Linked DNA regions of Astyanax mexicanus. The protein of the gene in region 1 purifies or fractionates together with the protein of each later gene. This does not show direct contact. Links are inferred from orthologs where the notes say so. Each region holds a gene or a part of one and is shown on either strand. Other genes may lie near its edges. The genes, in order: npm3 and nepro.

Region 1 (11,878 bases):
TTAGTCTTTGGTTAAACAGTAGCTCAAAGTAACAGAAAATAAGCATTACACAATTAGAATAACCCACACTTCCACATGTGAGTTTTATCACACACACAAACATGCAAATACCTGTAAACTACAAACATGCACATGTGTAGAAAATGTATTTAAAGTGCTGAGTGCAGCAGCCGGGTTGCACACAGTGACACAAGAGAAGATAAATAAGAAGCAAGAGACAATAAAACAGAATAGAAAATCAAGGGTTAATTATAGGAATGCTTATGTACAGCAATTGTTCTTGAGTGTGAAGATGTGAGGAAAGCAGCTTTTTTGCAGTCTGGTGGTTTTAATCCTCCTTTGGCTAGAGCACCTGTCTGAGGGGAGGAGGAGGAGGAGGTGAAACAGGGTGCATTTATTTTACATTGTTTGCAACATTTATTTGGACTGAAAAAGGGATTTTTTTAAATATAATAAAACATTGAAATTGAAATTGCAATCAAGGGCACCTTTTAAACATGTAAGATTTTTACAGACATCAGTCCATCCGGAAATATACTGACATGCCAAAAGTCTGACCAGGGATTCTTATCTCAGGGGGAAAGCCTAAAAGCTTGCCTGCATCTGTATATGTTATGAGGTGTTATCTTGTGAATTAGGTTGAACACTGGTAAACATGTTCATGACAAGGTGATTTGAATTATCCGAGTTTGAGTGAGGCCTGATTGTGGGTGCCAGATGAATTGGATATTCCATTTCTAAGGTTGTCTGGACCCACCTTACAGTGAGTGGTAATGATTGTGACCAGCAGTATCTGGCTAGAATTGCCTGTGTGAACAGAAAAGATATTCTGGCAGAAAACACATCCACGTTTAATGCAGGAGGACAAACACATATGTAACGCAGGTCAGTGCATTGTTCTTTACCTTCCATGAAGAATGGCAAACATATTAGGAGACAATATTAGCTTTTGTCCCATGATATGTTGCAAGTCAGGGTATACCATTACAAAACTATCTCAAATCTTTACTACGTCTTATGATTCTTTTTCAGTAGGTCTTGTGATCACAAAGAGATACTAGTCAGCATGGTGGTCAGTGTTTAACATTACTCACACGACAACACTACACAACTTATAGAGTTTAAACACTTTATGAGGATTTTTCATATTGCCATCCCATGACTTTAAGCATGTTCACGTATATCATGCTTCAATTGTCTAACATTTAACAAAGATGTCTGGCATTTTGAGCAACTGTGAGCTCTTCTGTTGGAACCCCTTCACTTAGATTAGAACCTCACCATCTGTCTTTATTTTGAGTTAAAACAAGCAGAGAATCAGTTTATCTTTTTAAGAATTCCGAGGCAGTTTCAAATGGCCAAAGATCTAACAGTACTATTCCAGAACAACAATCGTCCAAGAATTTCCAAGCTGCACAAATAATGGGTTGCTCCAAGACTGGTAAACAGAGAGAGATTTATTCATAAAATCTATAAATGTAAAATAAAAAAAAGAAATAATACAATAAAAATGCTCCATTCAAAACCCATCCTCCACATCAGCCTTTCAAAAGAACTAAAAACTAAGCCATGCATGCACAACTGCAGAAATCACTGCTGGTGACTCCATTTAAGGCAAAAACAGAGTGCCCGACTATAAAAGATACAATAAGAAGTTTTTTTCCTATTTAAACTTGTAAAGTGAGTAATTACAAAACAGTAGCACAGGTGGAATGTACCATGGTGAACAGAGTATTGTGCACCTTGGTTGGTGACTAGTGGTGAACCAAAAAATACACAAAACATTACTTTTAACATGACAGTCCCTCAAAAAAGTAAACAAATACACAATGCAGTAAAATCGTATTCCAAAATATTTTATGCACAAATGTAGAATTTGTTGTGGCTGTTCTTTTTTTGGGAAAAAACAAGGCAAAGAATTAAACTGAATTTATAAAGCATGCTAGGATAAGGAATCTCTACTGTATACTAAACTTGAGAACTTTAATTAGTGACTCCAAACACAAACATGGCAATAACGATATTTTGAAACTAAACTCCAAAATATTACATAATAAAAATATTTTTGACCAAAGGAATCACAGCTGGTTATAATGAGTCTCAATTTCCAATATTTGTCAAAACTGACAAAAAGATCCAAGCCTCAGATTTCGGTTCTGCTGTCCATTGTAACTGTGAGTGGAAACAGTTTATTGAATAGCATGTTCTATAAAACTTCATGATCTTCATAAAAGGTGAATCTACAGTTTCTGTTTCTTCTTGGCTGGCTTAATAGAGGGCATTTCCTCCACAGAATCCTCATCTTCATCAGACGCTTCCGCCTCCTCATCATTTTCTGAAGCTAAGAAAGATGAGAGATTACATTGTTAAAACAGTGCTTGTTTACTTGCCAGAGCTATTTATTTCACACTGTGTTATTTTCTAAATGTATCCATTATCTATTTAAGAGGAATACATTTCCTGTTTTGTAACTGTGATATTTGAAATCTAAAAGAAAGGAAGGCCCATTTCTCTTTTGTACCCCTACCCCTTGTTTTCGAGTTAACCCTTTAGAACAGAGTTTCAAGGGGAAGGGGGGAAATCCTCCCCCTAAGAATTGGGACAACTCTTCAAGTACCCAATACAGATATATCAAAGGGAGGGAAAAAGTTCAGCAACTTAGCTGCTAGTTAACTTATTGTGTGTATATCCTCAGAAAGTGGACAGGTGGTGCAGCAATTAATTATTATTGCCCATTCCTTAATTCCTCTGTTAATAAGCTTTTATTAACTGAGCTGAAATTAGCTTTTATTAACTTTTTTTTTAAACCCCATTTCACCTTCAATGCTGCAGCCTCTGCCATCTGTTGCACCATTTAAGGTGGAACAGGAACATTAGCTAGCAAGCTACTGAGATAAATATTAAAACTACACACTAAAACTACAATAATATAATGGTTATCATAATTTTTAACAAATAAAATACTTAAATTTGTGTTTCTTTGGTCTCTTGTGCTGCCATCTTACCAGCAATTCTCAGCCCCTTTGTTTGAAGTGTGCCTCCAAACATCTAGAAAAAAACTCAGTTTGAAGGGTCATGCAGCCCCAACACTTCCCTCTACCACTCTAACATAACAAGAATCGGGACACCCTAACCCAGAGATGCACATGCAAAGCTAAGTGGTAATGGAATGGAAATGGAATGGGCCTCAAGTGTCCCCCACCCCCCTTCACTCACCTACAAGGTGCAGTCCACTAACAGTCACAGGCCCACTTCCAGATTTTAGGCGAAGTGTCACAGGAGCCATCAACTCAAATTCTCCCAAGCTAACCTGAAAGAAATATATAGTATAAATAGCGTAAGTATCAAAACATCAAAAACCTAAGACATTCTACACTTTACAGAAGTACAAAAAGATTTTTTAAAAAGTTGCTCCATATGGGTAAAAATGTATTCATTAAATCTGTTTTTGTCATTTCAGTGATTTAAATAATCCAACAGCACAGAAGAACAGAAGACCACCTTCAGGAAAAGTGAGTCACATTTACTGATACTCATACAGTACATTATGAGTAATAACATGACTTTATTCAGAGTTTTTTTGCTGGAAGATAGAGTCATATGAATGAGTGGCATGGTCAGTTACTTTGTATTTGCTATACAACAAGATATTTTGGTTTCTAAAATAAACCTAAAAAACTGAACATGACTACGTTCACACTAGAAGCCTCATAAACCAATTAGATTCATTTGCCTAAATTAATTTTGGATCTTGACAGTTGTATTTAAATACACATGTGTATTTAAAAAAAGGCATAGCAATGAGAGCACATAGTTACTAATGCTGCCACTGTTGGGCCCAAGAGCAAGACCTAGTCAATCAAGAGCTGATTACAGGAGGACTTTGTCTTTGTCTGTAGTCTTGGCTGAGCTAATCTCTCCATGATACCAAGAACAAAACTGGCTATGGTAACATGCAAATAATAACTAAAACTATGAATAAGAGCTGGGTGACCTATTGAGTTTTAAAGAAAGACATTTTTATACAAGATATAGAATAAGACTAGATTGATTCAATCGATATAGATTACGCTGCATTCCAACTAGATCCTCTCTTGTCTCTTGAAAACAAACAAGCTCATTCAGACAGCATGCTTTTAATAAAACAGAGTGATGGCTGAACCTGACTTTTTAGTGAAACAGCAAAAGTGTGAAGCTTCACTACTGAACCAAACACCAAGTAGACACACCCACTCTATCCTGAACTGAGGGCTCACCAATCAGGTCCTTCACATAAGAGAATAAATCTGACACAGATTCAGTCCAGATTTTAAGTAAATGAAAAAATAACCTCAAACTGTTGTTTTTATTTACCTATTTAAGCATTTTATATGCACACTGCATTGTGTGTCCCTTATTTTTAGGCTACATTAAGTGAAAAAAATTAAAGAGCTGCTAGAACTTTTTTACAGGATGTGTCACTAAATGATAAAAGTGGCTGTGTAAAATCTGGAACACATAGCTTTGTTATCACTAATTGTCTTTGTCAATACCTTAAGTAAGTAAAAAAATGATATATATATATATATATATATATATATATATATATATATATATATATATATATATATTCAGCAATATACAATGTATGTATTAAGCATCAAAGCCCTTCATGATCCCCTCTGCACCATCAGGTTCTCAGATATCAGGCTACTCACTTTCCACTATGCTAGCTTCTCAACTATGATTACAATTTTTGTAACAATAATAACAAATGTTCATAATAATAATAATAATCATATCGTCATCGACAACTGTTGTTGCTATTATTGTAATTATTATTAATATTATTTTTACTACTACAACTACTATTATTATTAGAGAAGCTACCTGTATCCCAGATTTGTACAGCTCTAGATTAAAAAAAAAAAAATCAAAGAAAACAAAACAAATGAAATGAACTAAGAGGTGCTGATTTTTTTTTTTTATAAACTTAAATAGTGAAATGTAAAATGATTAAGAAACTCTTTACCATGGGAAGACAGGATATGTGGAGATTTGCTACAGGCACTGATATTTTCTTTCCTTGATGGTTCATAGCAGTGACTTCCACCACGTTATTCTCCTCCTTAGCTCCCTCACCGAGGCAGATCTAGAGGAGTTTACACATAAAGTGAGAACATCTGAACACACAGAGTTACCAACTAACCAACTTACTGCTCCTAAACTGAATTTTAAACTAAAGTTATTACAAACCGTCCTGAGCTCGAGAAAATGCTCCAGGTCCTCCTCCTCATCCCCTTGAAAAGTGTAGAACGGTACTTCAGAGGATAATTCACAGCCTTCAGGACAAACAGAAACATTTATTACTTAGATTTATAATAAAGTAGGCATTTTACGTTTTAGTAATGTTGCATTGATTTAGCGTAGCTAACCTGTCTAGGTTATATATGCTGAGCCAAACTAGGTGCCATGTAACTTTAACCGGCCGTGTAACATAATGGCCACTGTATCGCGCTATGCTGAAGTATTTATACTCTTCCAGTAAAAAAAACTAAATTTTTATTCCTCTTCTCCACCATTAAAGTAGAGCCATCAACAGCTAAAATGTTTTAGCAGTATTGTTTGCAAGAGGCTTTTTTCCAGCCCGCACTGAATGAATGTGTGAATTTCAGTCCAGCTGCTTTAAGCGCAACATTCCTCCACGTGTGTTAGCCAGAAAGCTAACGCTTAGGAAATACTGTCTGTAAACAACAGAAACTCGGCTTACTAAAAACATAGCTCTCTAGCTGCGCGCGGGCCCCGGCGCCGCCGTCTGAGCTTTCGTCCTCTAAAAACGACATTTCCCCACAATATTCCGAGAAAACGCTGAACTGAGACTGAATTATGAGCAGCACAGACAGAGACAGAGAGGCTTCAAAACATGTGACGAGCTACACTAGACACGGCGCAGGGGTGATGACGTCACAGACAACAAGCTTTTCGTGATATTTTAGTTTCTTTTATTTTTTTCTAAATGGGTAAGTCGTTCTGTAAACCTTTAAGGACTTTTATTTTGTCAGCCATTCATGTTTTGTTTTTTATGTATATCTTTTAATAGTTTTATTACAGCTTCAAAAACAATCTTGATTTTTGATCTTTTGATCTATTGAAGCAATTCCAAATCAGGTCAGAGTCACTAAGAATAAAACAATAAACAATGCACAAGTCTGAATTTTTACAGAACAATTCTACTTTATTTCTATGTAATGGTTGTTAATTATATCAAAAAGATATTTTGATATATTAAAGCCATTCCCCACCAGGTCTGAAATCATGTCAGAATCACTGATAATAAAACCAAAACATGTCTGATTTTTTACAGAACAATTCTATTTTATGGTTTGTTAATTATATAAAAATGATCTTGTGAAATATTAAAGCCATTCCCCACTAGGTCTGAAATCAGGTCACTAATTATAAAAAATAATAATAGACAAGTCGTAAGTACATAACAATTAACTTTATTTCCTTTTAAATCCTACTTTATTTTTATTTTATAATTTGTCAAATATTTAAATAAATGACAAAATGTAAAAATCTGAAATCAGGTTAGAGCCACTAACAATAAAACTATTAACCAATAAACTAGTCTGTAATTTTTTATAGAACAATTAATTTTCTGTCCTATTAAATGATAAAATTTCTATTTTATTGTTTGTTAATTATACCAAAATTACTAATCACTAATAAGTCAATAATAATAAAACAATACAAAAGTATGTAATTACAGAACAATATTTGTTTCCCTTTTAAACTCTTTAAACTTTATTTCTATTTTATGGTTTGGCAATTATGTATGTATATTTATGTAATTTGGGTCACGACATGCTAGTCTTGGCCACACATATAAACAGAGAAATGAAGTACGGTCACAATTTATCTTTTGTGTGTTAAATATTTGTCCAATTTATTTCTAATTTTAATCAATTTTCTCTTCAATTTGAAAGGCAAATCACCCAGCCCAATGCCCAATTCCATTTTACCGCCTGGTGTCCTGATTCTTGTTAGGCTGGGTAGGTAGGGGGAAGTGTTAGAGCAACATGATCCTTCAAACAGAGTCTTTTCAGAGGCACACTCTAAACTGAGGGTTGTGAGAATCACTAGCAAGATGGCGGCACAAGCGACCAAAGAAACCCACAAATGTATTTTTCTTGTCATAAATGACAATAACTTATATATTATTGTAGTGTCCTTTGTAGTTTCAGCGTTTTATGGCCATTTTCTTAATAAGCATAAGAAATGGCTAGTAGTTCATTTTAGTAGCTTTACTGTTCCAGCTTAAATGGTCAATCAGAGGGAAGAGTCTGTCGTCCTACTTTTGTGGACAGATTTGAAGAAGTCTGTCCTTTTAGTTTCAACTGCATCATTAATTAAAAGCAACTCACCGTGTTGGAAATAGTAGCTGCTACTAGTTAATAAAATAGATAAATAGAAGTAACTACAAACCTAGTGCTAGTGTTGATTTGGTGAATTATTTCTAAATAATGTGTATATATGAAAAGTATGAACTATTTAAAATATTTAATATATATCTATAAATATATATATATATTTGGAGTAGCGTTAGGCTCAGTGTGGGCAAACCAGATCTGGCATATTGAATTCCTATTTTCACTAAAGGGCTTGATCTGCCTGGAAAAAGCAGCATGCCATAGTGCACTGACAGCAATCAGTGTAATTTCAGCACTGCAAACAGTCTAAATTCTGAATAAAAGGACCAGCAATTAATGCGTGAAAGGTTACATAGACATCTGTGGATATCTATTTTAATGAATGCATTGAGCAATATTAAGTTGCTAGCAACCTCTGCAGACACCGATGTGCAAAGACACATGTAGTGCTCATCTACTATCTGTAAAGAGAGGTTTTGCAAATATAACTTTGGGAGACTATGGGTATAGAGCCTTCAGCATTGAGTTGTAGAGCTGTGATTAAGTGGGGTAGTAATCATCAAGCACCCTGCCCTTGTTAACCTTATTATTGCTGAATGCCTTCAAGTATTTACAACAATGCTTCATAGTCTCCTAAAACTTTAGATAGAGATAGTTAATCCAAAATAGAAGGGTAACTTAGCAATAGAAACACAAATCATAATTAATTTGGCTGAAGTTATAGAAGAAAAACAGCAACAAAGAAAATCTATTTAACATACTTTATTGTAATTAACCATTTTAATTACATACAAACCTTACAGAAAGTATAATAACTACATTACATACATTATCATAATTACAACCCAAAGTACAGAAATGTTTTTAAATTGTTAATTGTATTTAGACTCTCAAAAAATGAAGCCCTTTCTACTTGAATATGATGTCAACTTCCAGAACAAAATAGCAGGCATGGTGAAATAAAAACCATAAGAAATCATGGCCGTGCAAGGTCAAGCTCCCCATGGTTGGCCAAAAGAGAACAAGTGGAGGGAAAAATACCTTTTCGTTCCTAGAGTTTTTTTTTATTATTGAAGGCTGAAAACGATGTGCATTTGTCATTGCAGTTGCTAGAGACTACAAAAACTCTTATTTGGGAGATCTTTACATATTTGGAGCATATTTGTGCCAAAATGTCCAATTTATGCCAATGAGTATTTAGACTAGTTATCTGTCCATGATCTGTTGGTAAACGAGTTTATACCAGTTAAAACAAAAAAAAGATGAGCTGACACCTACTTTAACCTTAGAAAAATATGTAAAAATTTTAGGGCATGGAAACAAAAACACTGCCATCTCAGTGTCAATATATTTTCTTGTCAAATATTGCTTTACTGTCATTATACATTAGGACTTGCCTTGCCATGGTCAGATATCTTGGTGGACATTCTCATGACAAAAATTAAAAACCTCCAGCCAAAAACTTCAAATGTATGAACGGTTATCTAACCATGGTTTATCTCCACAAAATATAATGAACACAAACTCGAAGACGTGTGGAACAGATCAGATCTCAATATCTCAAAGGGGTTGCAGGGAAGGGTGGCGGAGCCTCGAAAGAAGGCCACAGACAGGAAGGCATCGCTGTACAAATCACAAAAATGTATCATCAAGATACACATGCTACTAGCTTATGCACAAAAGTAATATCCATGCAATTTTAAGGACAAGGGTCTCTCCTCTCCACTGTTGTTCCCTTACAGTTTCAGGTTCCTTGTATACTTTTTCTTCAAGCCATCATGCCACACAATAAAATCCTTCTTCGAGAACAAAGACACACCCAATCTGTTAAATTGCTGAGTTCACTCCACTGTTTTGTTATCATTTTGTATCTGGAGAACTGCAAAACATCAACAAAAAGCAGTGGTTCAGCCTGCATAATGATCTACCACTGGATAGGCATTAAAGCACAGGAGCGGAGAGGCAAAATGAATGTAGATAAACTTATTTGTTCTTAAGTTATTGTAGCTTTAGGCTGTTGATTGTGTCTAAGTCCACTCACTGAATTTTGCAGTGTACCGAATGTGAGTGACTGCCTACCAGCTGCATTTGAGAGGTGTAATGGGCTAAAATGACACCTGGCCAGCTCAAGCTGTCTTGCAGACCAGAGGAGGGTCTCATTGAAAAGGCAATACAAGCACTCACACATATTCTTGCACGCCACCTCTGATTGGCAAAAGCACAATATCTAAGAGAAGCACCTTATATTATACAAGTGTCTCCAGCAGTTTCTGTAAAAAAACACTTTGCAGAATAAAGCTAGAACAGCAGCCTGCAATGGGTGCAACAAAGATTTACAAAATGGATCACTGATTGTTACTTGAACATGACTGAAATGCACTCTGAGCCTTCTACACAGACCACTGCAGCTTTGTACAAGTTCTTCCAAAATTCTTCAAAAGTCTTCCAACCCTTCACAAGCTCCTCCCCATTATGATGACATCTTTTGGAAAGCCCTCCATTTTGGCCACTTCAAAGCAGCCAAGTTTGCCATAAAAGTCCAACATCCGTTTGTCAATTTGCCGGACCTCACAGAAGGCACCATGGGAGCCTAACACAGAAAAGTGCAGTAAAATTATCAGGAGAACAAAGTCATTCAAACAAGTGATAATAGATTTTAAACTTCTATAATAGCTTTAAGGCTATTAATCTTTCTGAACAATATCAGCTTTTTTAAAATTTAGAAATCATACCAGATCACTACTGTCTTTTACTGTATTTGTCTAGTCTACAGGGGAGAAGGGCACATATATAAAACTGAAAAGGTTCAGCTTAGTTTAAGCTTAAATCACCTTTTCTTTTAATTTTTGTAATCAGAAAATTGTTTTCTAAATTATGCAACCAGTTCAGTTTTGTCCCTAAAGCTATACTTGTTAAACTTGCTACATACTAGTGCATCTCAAAAAATTAGAATATCATTTAAATGTTGTATTCGATATAACACAGTGAACCAACACCAGCACAAACCATTGTAGAAACATCACACTAGACCTCAAACAGCTTGAGACTGGACTGTGTCTTCCTTCAGACTCTGGTCCCTTGATTTCCAAACAAAATTAAAATTTACTGACGATCAGTGATGGTTTGGAGAGTCATGTGATCTGCTGGTGTTGATCCACTGTGTTATATCAAGTCCAAAGTCAGTGCAGTGTTTTCCCAAAAACACAGCACTTCATGCTTCCCTCTGCTGAAAACTTTTATGGAGATGCGGAATTCATTTTCCAGCAGGACTTGGCACACTGCCCACACAGCCAAAAGTATAATATTTTCTATTTTTTTAGATGCAATAGTATATGTATGTTTGTGAATCTGTGACAAAAATAGAATCCTGCACATACCGTTGGCTTTTAAAGACGAGAGGAGACAACCCATCATGCTTTTGGCTACACTGGGGTCAGTGACTTTTGTTTGAATGTCCACCTTTATGAGGGAGGGGAAATTACTGAGGAATGATTCAGGCAAAACCTCCTCCTCTTCATGGAAGCTTAGCATCATCTTCTGCAGAGGGAAGGGGTCATACATTTTAGAAGACAAACGACTGGTCAGACATTTTAGAAGACTGGATAAATAATGAAGACATGAATATAAAGGAGTGAATCCTAATGAAGACATGAATATAGAGGAGTGAATCCTACCTCTGCCTCAGACAGGTCCTTCTCTAAGTCAGGTTTGTTATATTTTTCTTGCATGAATGGAATCCAGCTCATTTTGCACTTCGTTACAAAGGGCTGAACATCAACAGTGCCCAGGGCATAGCCACAGATTCCATCCTCATCTTCCAAGACGAAGCCATAGTCTGGGCTGAGTGTCAGAAACCCTCCTACTAACCTACAGGAGACAGTGACTATGTAAGGCACTGCAGAACTCATACCATGTTAAACACAGTGGGGGAGTACAGTAAATGTTATCTAGGCACACTGCTTTCCCACCCTAAAGCCGGTACACAGATCTCTACTCACAGGTGGCAACACTGCTGAGTTACAAACACTAATCAATGTAAAAATCTCACTATGTCTCCAATGGTACTCAATCACATCAAATTAGCTTACATTTAGTGGAGAAAAAGAGCAGTTTCACAGACTGGCATTGAGTCTAGTCTTGGACTACACAGCATTTTGAATGGAGTTCTCCCACTAAAAGGAACATTTGTCAAGGACTAGGCTTAATCACTGTCCAGAAATCTAGCCATAAGTGTCTCATGCATATTAGAAGTGCTGCAACTTTCTACACAGATTATACAATGTGTGCAATGCAGGAAGAGTCTAGTTATGGCTGTATCCGAATATTTTCAGGCATACAGCATCATTATTTTATAGTGGTCATATAACGCACTTTAAACTATCCACATTCATTTTGGTACCTGTCTCCAATCAGGTCTGGCTCCTGGTCAGAGAAAGGAAGGTCATTACATCCCTCTGTATACATTT
Region 2 (11,954 bases), on another chromosome or scaffold:
AAAGAACACTCAGAGATACTCAAAGGGGCACTTGGAGACCATCCAAAAGGACACTTGGAACACTTAGAGACCCCCAAAATGACAACTGGAAATGACAACGGAAAAGACATTAAATGATACTTGGATATACCCAAAAGGACACTTGGAGATGCACAAAGGGTCACTTGGATCTCTCCAATGGGACAAGTGGAGATGTCCAAAAGGACACTTGGAGATCTCAAAGGGACACTTGGAGACATCCAAATGGACAGTTGGAGACATCCAAACGACAAATTGACAACTGGAGGTGTCCAAAATGACAAAAGGAAATGTCCTAAAAGACACTAGCGACATTGGAGCACGTGGGGATACCCAAAAGGAACCCTAGAGATACCCAAAGGGACACTTTGAGACCCCCAAACTAAAAACTGGAGATGGTACACCTACTGCTACATCTCACGGCAACTAGAACATTAATGTCTTACTCCATGAAATTTAATTCCATTTATAAAAATGGGCGCTTTCATGGCCGGATTCAGAAAGAAGTATTGTTTTTGTTTTTTTAGTTTAAAGTAAAAGCTAAAGGTGTGCATGTGAGGTCATAACATACTTTACAGGGTTAGTTAATTGATAGTCTAATACTGTGTGTGTGTGATGGTGTATTGTGATTTGGTTCAACTGGTCCTTGCTCATCACTGAAGGTTCAGATCCAGGCCTAGAAGTCGCTCCTCGCCACAGGGTGGTGGTATACAACCGACCTACCCTCAAACTTCACTGAGACTGAATGAAGATGGTGGCAGTTAGTGAGGTAGGAAAGAGTTACAGCGCGTGTTTATGAGTATTTTCTATAGTAGCACAGCTCCAGAACACCACCAGATTTAAACAGATAAACTGCTGTGTTTTACTGGGCTGAATTTATTGACCAGCTGTTTAGTGTTTCCCAACCAGGATCTGGAGAGCCCTATCCTGCACTGTTTACAGTTCTGTATGATAAACTGTTTTCTCTCAGAGTCACAATAAATAAATTTAATCTTGTTAAAATTAACCTGGTTTAAAAAAAACTTACTGTAGAGAAATGACAAGTAAATCTATGGAAGCCCATTTCCGCCACCTGAAGAAAAAAAACGTCCTCAACTAAGTCATAATTATGAGATAAAACTTTCTATCTCATAATTATGACTTTCTATCTCATAATTATGACTTTCTATCTCATAATTATGACTTAGTATCTCAAAATTATGACTTCTCTATCTCATAATTATGACTTACTATCCCATAATTATGACTTTAGGACGTTTTTTTTTCTTCAGGTGGCGGAAATGGGCTTCCATATAAATCAGTCATTTCACCTTAACATCTTCCCTGTATATACAGTAACAGTTACCAGTCAAAAGTTTCTAAACACATCTTTCATTGTGTTTTTTTTTTCTTTTTAGGTTTTTATACTTTGTAAATGTAGTATTGTAGACTATATTAAAGATCTACAGGATCACATGCAGAATCATTCTGTAAACAAAACAAAGTGTTAAACACACCAGGATATGTTTTATACTTTATATTCTTTTAAAAGAGTACCACATTTAGCTTTGAGAATAGATCTGCACACTGGTACATTGGTATTTTAATCTCAGTGTCTTCATGAGGGAGAGTCACTTGGAATAGTTTTCTTAGTCTTGAAGGAGTTCCTGGAGGTGCTGAACAATATATTTGCTGCTTTTCCTTTACACTGTGAAGCTTCAGCTCATCCCAAATCACCTCAAATCACCATCTCAGTTGATCAGGTTAAGATCAGGGGATTGTGGAGGTCTAACTTTTTTTTTTTTTTTTACTATTTACTGTGTAATTCCATATGTGTCCCTTAATTGTTTTCATGTCTTTCTATTAATCTACAATATAGAAAAGAAATTACAAAAAAAGAAAGAAAGAAAGAAAAACACTGAATGAGAAGGTGTGTCCAAACCTTTGACTTGGAGGATGTATTTCTTTGACTTTATTCTGTCTTTATTAAATGCAACATTTACAAGGAGCTGAGATTGTATTGTTACAGTGGTGGTGAAGATTTATAAGATGATGTCTAAATGTTTAATGTGTTGTTCACAAAGTCATTTTACAAATTGTTCTGGTTAAATATGACATTTCGGTTTTAAAACCATGCAAAACATATAGGGGCAAAAATAATCCTCGTAAAAATTTGCCACTAATTCACCTTCATCACTATTTTAAGATGTGTAGTTTTATAGGTGGGTTAGTTAATAAAATTGCTATATTTGCTTTGTAAACATAATATATATATCCAGGTTTGTGTCTTCACTAATATAAAGAAATTGAGTGATTATAAATCAAGCACAAACACGCTGTAATTCCTCTGTAATCTTTACTGTTTTGCTTCCTAATGGGAACTGTCTTATAATGATTACCATCAACAGCTACTTTAACAAAGGCCTTTAAGTTCCCATAAGGAAACGCATCATATCTGTCTATAACCAGTCAAAGGTCACATGTTTAACCCTTTGTTTTATTTACATTGTTATATCAACCCATCAAGAAAAGGAGCAATGACATAACAAACTTTTGTACTAGTGCTAGGAGGTTAATCAAATTAATTTGATTAATCAAACTACTGTATTAATGCACTTTTCAAAATGGGATAATCAATATTGTACATCTTTACATATAAAAGCTGACAGAGAGAGTTTCTGTCACAAACAGTAAATAGTAACAACCAATTAGGGCTGCAAACATTTTTCAATATAATTAACAATGTTGATTATTTGAATTTGTCAGCTACAAATTTAATTGTCGACTAATTGTTCATTTGTAACTATAACGCATTACACAAAGTGATGGGGACATAAGCTCAATGGGAGATGGGTAAATGGCTCACTCACACAGGTTACACTCAACTTAGTTTGTGTCCAAAACTCAACAGATATTTAATCCCTGAATATCAGTATTTTTCGCATTTAAACAACATCTAGACATTAAATTGCCTCTCAAGTCTCATGTTCAGCTGTTTCTATCGTTTTTAGATGTGGAGGACTTTGCAGAAATAGTCATTGACTAATCGAAAAAATAATCATCAGATTAGTCTACTACCAAAATAATCATTAGTTGCAGCTCTACAAACAATATTTATCACAATACAGGGTGTATAATTAAATATATCACAATATATTGTGAAAACATAAGCAGTGTGATATATTCTGATTGTTTAATATAAAATTATGGTGTCACTCTATTAACAAAATATACTAGATTAATCAAACTTTTTCTAATCAGTAAGATATGAATATATTATATTAGTTTTTATATTAGTAATAACAGTGTGGTATTCCTGGCAGACTAGAGCCTTTTTTACTTTATTACAGTAACTCATGGTTTTTAAAATAGTAGTTTTTAGTTACTGAGTTTTACCAAGCTTTTACTGCAGGAAATAAATGCTAGTGTAGTTCCAGATCCTGCGTTTCCATATATATATATATATATATATATATATATATATATATATATATATATATATATATATATATATATATATATATAGCCGTAACTTCATTTTTTTTTCTTTCTGTAGGAAAAAGTAAAAATTCCATTTGGAGCTAAGGTTCTAGATGGTATTCTGACAATTCCTGAGGTAAACAGCGTGAAGACAGGAGTTGTTCTCACACATGGAGCTGGAGGGGACATGAATCTGAAGGCCCTGCAGTCTCTGGCCAGCTGCACGGCCACCTCCGGGATCCTGTGTCTCCGGTTCACCTGTAAAGGTCTGAACCTCACCTACAGGGTCCGGGCATTCCAGGCAGCGGTAGTAAGTGGAGAACACAGTGCAGTGACAGTCATTAGCCTCGGGGTCATTGATGCTCAGCTTGCTTGGTTTTCTTTTTACAGGATTATCTGAAAACTCTGGAGAGATTCTCGCTGAGTCATGTGTTCCTGGCGGGTGAGTGATCTGTGCAGCCGCTAGAGCCTGCGGGGATAAATGTTTTACAGCAGGCGCATGTGATTTTAGTCACACATGGATAATGGATAATGGGTTGAAAAAAAAGAAGGTTGTCATAATCTTATGGTTTATTGCTGTATATCCTTTAAAGTACCTCAGGTTCTCTTATAAATGAACATTTTATTAAAAAGATCGGTACTGTAAATGTATGCCTATGTTGAGGGGTTTTGAAAGAAGAACTGTAATACATATGGTTCTCTAATAAGCATTTAGATTTCGTTTTCTAAATGTGCTCCACTGAAAATGTCTTTAAGGTTCTCTACAAAAGCTCAGCTTCAATTGTAAAGACCTTTTGGGAAACTTTAAGGAACCACTGAAAGAATCTTTAAGGAACCACTTTATGTTTTTCTGGGAAACATCTATTATGTATTCTAAAATGTATGCTTCTAAGAATGCTTGAGTTTTTAAAGAACCATTAATTAAAAGGATTTCTAAGGAACCACATTTTGTTCGCCAATAAATATTTTAAAGAGCCAAAACCTGAAATAATCAAAGAAATCAGCTTAAGGAACCACATTAAAAATGTCTTCCAGGTTCTATATAATGCTTCTACCAATGGTTCCTTAATGTGATTCTTCCATTAAAGAACCTTCCATTGAAGACTCACATTCAATAAACTCACATTTTTTTCAACTTTACATTAAAACAACACAAGGAAAAACAAAAGGAACGTGTCTGTGTTTTGTCAGGTCGTTCCATGGGTGCACGAGCTGCCGTGGCTTTGGGAAGACAGCTGAGTGCCGTGGACGAGGATGCTGTGCAAGGCCTGGTGTGTGTCTCCTTCCCTCTGCATCCTCCTGGACAAACTCATACACAGGTTAAGAGAAGTGAAGACCTCAGAGCGTTGTGTCACGTCCCGGTGCTATTCGTATCTGGAACTGCTGACAATATGTGTGAGCAGGTGAGTGTGCCTCATCGGTTTACCGGTTGTCCTTCCTTGGAGCACTTTGGATAGATCCTGACCACTGCATATCGTGAACACCCCTCAGTACTTGCCTGATGTTTTGGAGATGCTCTGAACCAGTTATGTAGACATCACATATTTGGTTTTGTCACAGGGCTTAGTATATTTTCACACCCATAACTTTTAGTCTAGTTAGTCTTGCACCATAGACAGCATAGAGAGTCTAGTAGTCTCTCACCGAGAAGCACACTACTCAAAAAGAAGCTTTTACAAAAACAGGTGTGACTATACTTTTGTTCTTGCTTGTCAGAAACTTCTGGAAAATGTTTTGAAGCAGATGAAGAGCCCCAGCTCTGTGCACTGGGTGGAGGAGGCCAATCACGGCCTGGCAGTAAAGGGAAGGAACGAGGAGTCTGTGCTGGAGGAGGTCAACTCCCAGATCATCACATGGATACAGAAGCATGTCTGAAGATGCTTTGTTATCAGGACTACTTGTTGGGTGTTTTGATACTCTTTATATTATACATCATAACTTTATACATGTATATATGGCAAAAGATGATTTGTCCAGTTTTTGTAAATAAAGCATTGTATCTGAGATGGGTCAGCCATTGTTTGCTTTGTTCAGTTCATGTTTGGCACTACAATAACATTGCTTCAGAGTGGACTACAGGACTGGACCTAGCAAACTCTCATCTTCAGCAGAAAAAGGATCCACACTTGACCCTTTTGGAAGGTTAATGACGTCTAGATCTGCTTCGAGTGGAGCAAATGTTTAACTCTGTCTTTGATTCCAACTTGTTTAAGACAAGCTGTGTGTGTGCATTTACACATCTGTGTCAGCAACAGGTGCAGTAGTTTAATGTATTTATTAGGAGGGATATCCACAAACATTTGGACATTCAGTGTATATTAGGAAACACTACATTTTGTTCAATTTCTTTAAAAAATATGGTTACAAATGAACTTTGTTTTGGAGAGTCATGTTATCTGCTGGTGTTGGTCCACTATGGTATATCAAGTCCAAAGTCAGTGCTGTGTCTACCAGCAGATTTTGCAGTAGTTCATGCTTCCCATGCTTCTACTGACAACTTTTATGGAGAAGCAGATTTCATTTTCTAGCAGAATTTGGCACACTGCCGACATTGCCAAAAGTACCAATTGGTCTTTTATTCAAAATATTTAAATTTTCAGATATTTGAGTTTTCATTGTCACTCTGTGTAATGTCTCTATATAATATGAGTTTCACATTTTTTTTTTAACTTTTTGTCTTTTATGCTCTATAGGTCCAGTCAATAACCAGAAATTGTATAAAGTACCAGAGCTTTTAAAACAATTCATGAACCATTGTAAAATATATAAATAAATATTGCAAACAATTCGTTGGTTAACAGCTAAAAGAAATAAACTGAGCTTTGGATATGGATTTTATAAAATGTCAATTTACAAAGCCTTTGTAGCAAAGCAGTATTGGAACAGATTGTGTTACTGCACTCTATACTCCAGCATTCACACTTTCATCATCATAACTATAAAAAGACACAGAAACATGGATAACCACTTCCAATCTGATCTTAAAAACAGTAAAACTAATAGAACATGAACATGCATTAAATTAAAAAGCAGTTACTGCAAATATTAGTAGAACACGTTCATTTCTCCATCCAATCATTTTTAGAAATGATATGGTAATGAAATGTAAATGCTAATTCAAAAGGCAGAAGGTTGAAGACATTATGTTGATTCAGCGTTAAAATTTCAACATTTGCACAACCATTTAACATTAAATGTTGATTCAACGTTGTTTCAACATTGAAACAACAACATACATTACGATAGACATCCCCCCCTTTAAATTTAGTGGGAAAACCGCGAACTTGGCAACTCTGGTTAGTTTGATAGGGGTGTTGAAGAGCTCTGTTGTACATTGATATTTATATGATGAAATTTGCTGTTTAAATAAAATATAATGCCTGTTTTATGTACAAAAAGTAAAATGTAGAATATAAAAATGTATAATGTATCATTTTAATAAGAAAGTCTGTGCTGTTGCCTATTCCTGAAGAAGTTTTTTCTTTAGGGGGATTCTAGTTTCGAGATCTGGCAACCCTGATGTCGTCACGCCTCTTCCCTGTTGTTACCTGTACAGAAACATGGCGGTGGATGTGTGGAATAAAGTGAATATTCCTCGGCCGAGTGTTGTTTCCACGTGTCGAATGGACTTCAGGGCTGAAACAGGTACTGTATATTTATATTTACACGGTCTTTAAAGGCTTTAGTTTAGCAGAGACTGGCCCGAACCCTCACAGTGCACGTGCTCGGGTGTTGTTTACGCTGCGCACGTGCACTGCAAGGCCAGGCTCGCGCTGAACTAAACGCAGAAGGGATTTGTGTGTAAAAGTAACGAGTGTTTTTAATCCTGATTCAGACAGAATAACAGAACGGGTAGTGTCTCACTGTGAAGATGCGCTGAAACTGCTGCGCAGTAAAGTTCTGCGGACGGAGATCCGCCTGCTGTATGAGATCCTGTACGTGGTGAACAACAGCCAGAGACAGCACAAACCCTTCAGAGCCGTTAAACAGGTCAGTAAACTTTATTATTTATGTGGCTTCATATTAAAGAAAATATGCAAAAATAAAGTTACTAAAATATACTGTAAAATATCAGGACTAGGAGAAATTGATCTGTGATTTCAGATATATCCCTTATAATACAGGTCTAAACCTAGAGTAAAATAACAATTATTATAATTTACAGGACCTTTATTTTGAAATGACACAAGTGATACAGTATTAAAAGTCATGTGTCCATGTGTGTTAATCTTATGTATGTAAATTATTATATCATATTTCTTTTTTATTTTAAATTAAAATATAAGTATTAGCCTTTTGTTTTGCATTCTACCCAATACATTAACTAATTTACTTACATACAACGTTGAAATAACGTTGATGTTATGGCAACGTTGTTTTAAGTTTATACGTTCTACCATAAAAAAAACTCTATGCCGTCATGACAAATGTACAGTTTTATTTTTATTCTCTCTCTCTGAATATACATCTCATAAAAGTAGGATCTGTAGCTACAACTAGGAACAAAAAACTACAAGTAGCTAAAACTAGAAAATCCTATGGTTAACAGAGTATTAACAGTAAACTTATCACTGTAGTAAAGCTACAGAATATAAAGCATCTGTGTGTGTGTCCGCACAATACTTATGTTGCTAAAGTAAGTAACAGCTTTGTTAATAATGGTGTGATTTGTTTGCTGCAGGTGGAACAATGCATAAACCGGCTAAACGAAATGAAACTGCAGGGGGCTCTACAAGACCTTCAGGAGCTGTGCCCCAACAAAATTCAGAGGTACAAAAGGTTTTAATAGGGAGCTTGTGCCCCTTTTTCGGTTTGAGCTGCTCCTGTGTGCCACATTGCATTGGTCAGTCATTCCAGACAAAGATATACATCATTTGTACTGGACACAGATTGAATTTGATGATTGATGAATGATGCCATACTGAGGATGTGATTATTACTCTTAAACGCGTCAGAGTGCAGTTTTAAGCAGTGATGAACAATAAACGATAACCACCATGTTTAGTGAACTTAGCTTTTATTTGAACTTTTATGTGATTTTATGTTTGACCAAGATTGAGGCACCAGACTGCAGTTTAGGGACTGTAGTAAAAATACTTAAGTATTATATAATAAGTAATGAATAAATCTGATTAATTTTCTCAAAATGTGACCAAATCAACTTATATTTATATTTTATTGTTGACAAAAGGGTGGTTTGGGTAGGACTGTTGTGAAATACAGATCTGGAAAAAAGTAAGAGACCAATTTTCTCTTTTTTTTTCTATTTATCTGTATATGTTTGAGTAAAATGAACATAATATTGTCGTTTAGAGCATTTATTAGCAGATGAGAAATGGCTGAAATAACAAAAAAAGATAATGCAAAGAAAACAAGTTTATATTCATACAACGCTTTAAGAGTTCAGAAATATTTGGTGGAATAACCCTGTTTTTAATCACAGTTTTCATGCATCTTGGCAAGTTCTCCTCCACCAATCTTACACAGTGCTTTTAGATAACTTTATGCCACTCCTGGTGCAAACATTTAAGCAGTTCAGCTTGATTTGATGGCTTGTGATCATCCATCCTTCTCTTGATTACAGAGGTTTTCAGTTTATAAAAATCAAAGAAACTCATAATTTTTAAGGGGTCTCTTATTTTTTTCCAGAGCTGTATTTGAGCCTAACTCGGTGACCAGTATTGTTCTGTCATGTGTTTTCTGTACAGGGATGTTGGGGTGGAAGTTGGAGAGTGCAGCGTGCCCAGTCAGCCCATGCTGGAGTGGTTTTGTCTCAAACTGCTGGGAGCTTCCAGTCTCCTGGCTCGAACCCTGGACCAGTGTATCAAAGCCTTCTCGTATCCTTCACTGCTTTTAGAGATAATGCAAAACAATTTACAAAAAAGATTAAATTGCATAAATAGCATGTAAACGTAGCCTTCATTCAGGATTACACATTTCTCACAAGAGGTTGTTGAACTTTTCATAAAACATCCATAAAACAATCATAAAACTACAGTCCTTGGCAGTAAAAGGTGTAAGTAATTTCGAACAGATAAAACGCAAGGGGACAACTTTATTACTGTTAGTGTTCTTTTTTTTACATTCAGAATTTGATGCATAGTCAGCATATACTCTGTGGACAAAAGAACTGGGATACCTACATAATACATCTATAGGAGCTTTTATTATATCGCTTTCTTAATCCATAGGCTTTCCTTTGCAGGTAGAACAGCTTTTTATACAAGATTATTTGAGCTGGGAATGATGTTAAACCTACACTGACAGAATTCCAATTAAATGTTAAGATAATTGTACAGTATTTCAAAACATTTCCAAAAAAAACATTTAAAAACCTTGTAGTTTCCCACAACTTGTTTGTCAGGTCTAAACATGTGTTTTTTGACGAATCTGCGACTAAATTAATGAGATACAAATGGATGCCTATTGTTTTTTTCCCCTTTACTACTATTGATGTGCAGTGTAGCCATCCTTAATTTTGAGTTGGTGAGTTAGTGAGGCTCTCTGACTTTACAAATAGGAAATCTGACTTGGAAATCAGAAATTCCACCATCCAAGATTTAAGTTTGAATAGAAAGCATCAAGTGGCTTTACTTGTGTTTATCATAAAACCTTGACTCTCTAACTGGACAGACTGACGAGGCAGCACCTACGGCTGGCTGAGTTCATTGTGTTGAACTTGGTCATTTTAAGCATGATCAGTCGACTCTGGTATGTTCAAAACTATTACTGTGTGGATTGATACACTAAAACAAGTTATTAATGCTCCATGCAAGACAATACAACTGTAGATTTATTGATTAATTCTAAATATTGTTAAAGATAAAGGGATTATTATTATTTTTGGTAACACATACAGTAACATACACACACACATACACATGGTTACAATAGATGTACATTAACAGAACTTACGACAGAATGTCTGAATTAATTATTAATGGGCACTGTCTCAGTTGTTTCATTTTATTAATATTTACTTTATCAAAATCATGTTAAAATTTGTGACATATTTTTTGGGGTGCTTTCCTTTTTGCCCTTCTTATTGTATATATAATGCTGCATAATATATTGTTTAGCATCGGCATTATCAGTGTGCACATGGGTTATAGTCACATCATGCAGTGTAACGTATGATTTTTGCAAAACAGAGAACTTGGTCAAAATCTAGGCTTAAATTTCATAGATGAAGACAAAAACCCAACAAAAAACACATGGGGAAAAAATATCTGAAAAAATGGGGGGGGGGGGATATCTGAATATCTGCAGCACTTTTTTAATATATATGAAAGATCCCAACATCACTACATGAAGTACACATGGTTTAGCGAATTAGATTTTAGAACCTCTTCTTTAGCCCACACCTCTTTTTCTTTAATGTTTTCCAGGGTGTTCTTTAGAGGTATCCTGAGAGCCCTCTTGCCCATATACAAGAGCACCATAGAGCTCCGTCAGCAGGTGGCCCAGTGTGTGCCGATGGCCTACCTGACCGATTACAACCTGCCTCAAGATCTGGAAAGCTTTCTAGGCACCTCCCATCGTGACCTGCTCAAGGTAGAGAGTACAACGTTAGCCCCCAAGACCTCTGCCCTCAACAAGCTCTTTCAAGGAGGAACAGAGGAGCAGGTGGAGGATGGAGGAGAAGAGGAAAGCCAGATGATGCAGATGCTGGCCAGAGAGGGACCGGGGAAGTCTAGCATGGATCTAGGGACGACCATTTTACGAGAAGGTCCATTTTACTCTGGTAGGTCTGCCTTGTCTGTCTTTTCACCACAGTTACACTTCTATACACTGATCATCAAAGAGGTGGTTTCATCCAGAATGGCATTTCAGATTGCAGTGTGAGACAAAAGGTTACCAGGGACAATAAATGATTAAACATTTAGACTGATATTGTCTACTCTTGAGCTGCACGTGAAGAAGTCAAGAGTAACATGTATGTAACATAACATGGCATCTGTCTCAGCATGAAGTTGTAGAGGTTCCTAATGGTGTTCTGCAATAATACATCCCATGCAACTTGACACACAGTACCTGCAGATGTTGCAGTTGGGAAGGTGTGTTGTTGGCATGTCCAATAGAATCCCACATACAGTACCAGTCAAAAGTTTGGATACACCTTTTCATTCAGTATTTCAATTTTTTTTTATTGATTTTTTCCCCCCCTACATTGTCAATAAATATTGAAATCATCCAGACTGTGAAGCAAAACATAAGGAATTATTTAATAACTTAAAAGTGTTAAACAAACCAAAATACTCTTTGAAGCATTTACATGCTCTTATCTGAGGTGCTGTTAACCTGTGCTTTCTGAGGCCAGTAACTCTGATGAACATATCCTGTGCAACAGAGGTGACTTTTGCTCTTCCTTTCCCGGGGCAGTCCTGATGTGAGCCAGTTTCATCAGAACTTTGAGTGTCTTTTTGATGGCACTTGAGGATACTTTTAAAGTTTTGGAATGTTTCTAATTGTCTAAC

The links.
Region 2: the proteins of npm3 (region 1) and nepro purify together in Homo sapiens (affinity purification with mass spectrometry; 4 studies listed by BioGRID and IntAct, with this or other methods). This does not show direct contact. The link is inferred for Astyanax mexicanus from reciprocal best matches to the Homo sapiens genes NPM3 and RMP64.

Annotation. Positions count from the first base shown.
Region 1 is NC_064414.1:23,213,170-23,225,047, forward strand, and holds npm3 (nucleoplasmin-3), read right to left. Parts: upstream 5,950-11,878; 5' UTR 5,823-5,949; coding exon 5,750-5,822; intron 5,322-5,749; coding exon 5,236-5,321; intron 5,132-5,235; coding exon 5,012-5,131; intron 3,311-5,011; coding exon 3,217-3,310; intron 2,342-3,216; coding exon 2,241-2,341; 3' UTR 1,440-2,240; downstream 1-1,439. Other genes in the region: oga (protein O-GlcNAcase), read right to left, coding at 9,866-10,002, 10,790-10,949, 11,087-11,279, 11,812-11,878. UniProt on the Homo sapiens protein: Plays a role in the regulation of diverse cellular processes such as ribosome biogenesis, chromatin remodeling or protein chaperoning. Modulates the histone chaperone function and the RNA-binding activity of nucleolar phosphoprotein B23/NPM.
Region 2 is NC_064418.1:10,449,979-10,461,932, reverse strand, and holds the start of nepro (nucleolus and neural progenitor protein), read left to right. Parts: upstream 1-6,839; 5' UTR 6,840-7,037; coding exon 7,038-7,122; intron 7,123-7,312; coding exon 7,313-7,467; intron 7,468-8,158; coding exon 8,159-8,247; intron 8,248-9,185; coding exon 9,186-9,314; intron 9,315-10,110; coding exon 10,111-10,188; intron 10,189-10,865; coding exon 10,866-11,221; intron 11,222-11,954. Other genes in the region: tex30 (testis-expressed protein 30), read left to right, coding at 764-787, 3,554-3,787, 3,868-3,919, 4,669-4,880, 5,194-5,352. UniProt on the Homo sapiens protein: May play a role in cortex development as part of the Notch signaling pathway. Downstream of Notch may repress the expression of proneural genes and inhibit neuronal differentiation thereby maintaining neural progenitors.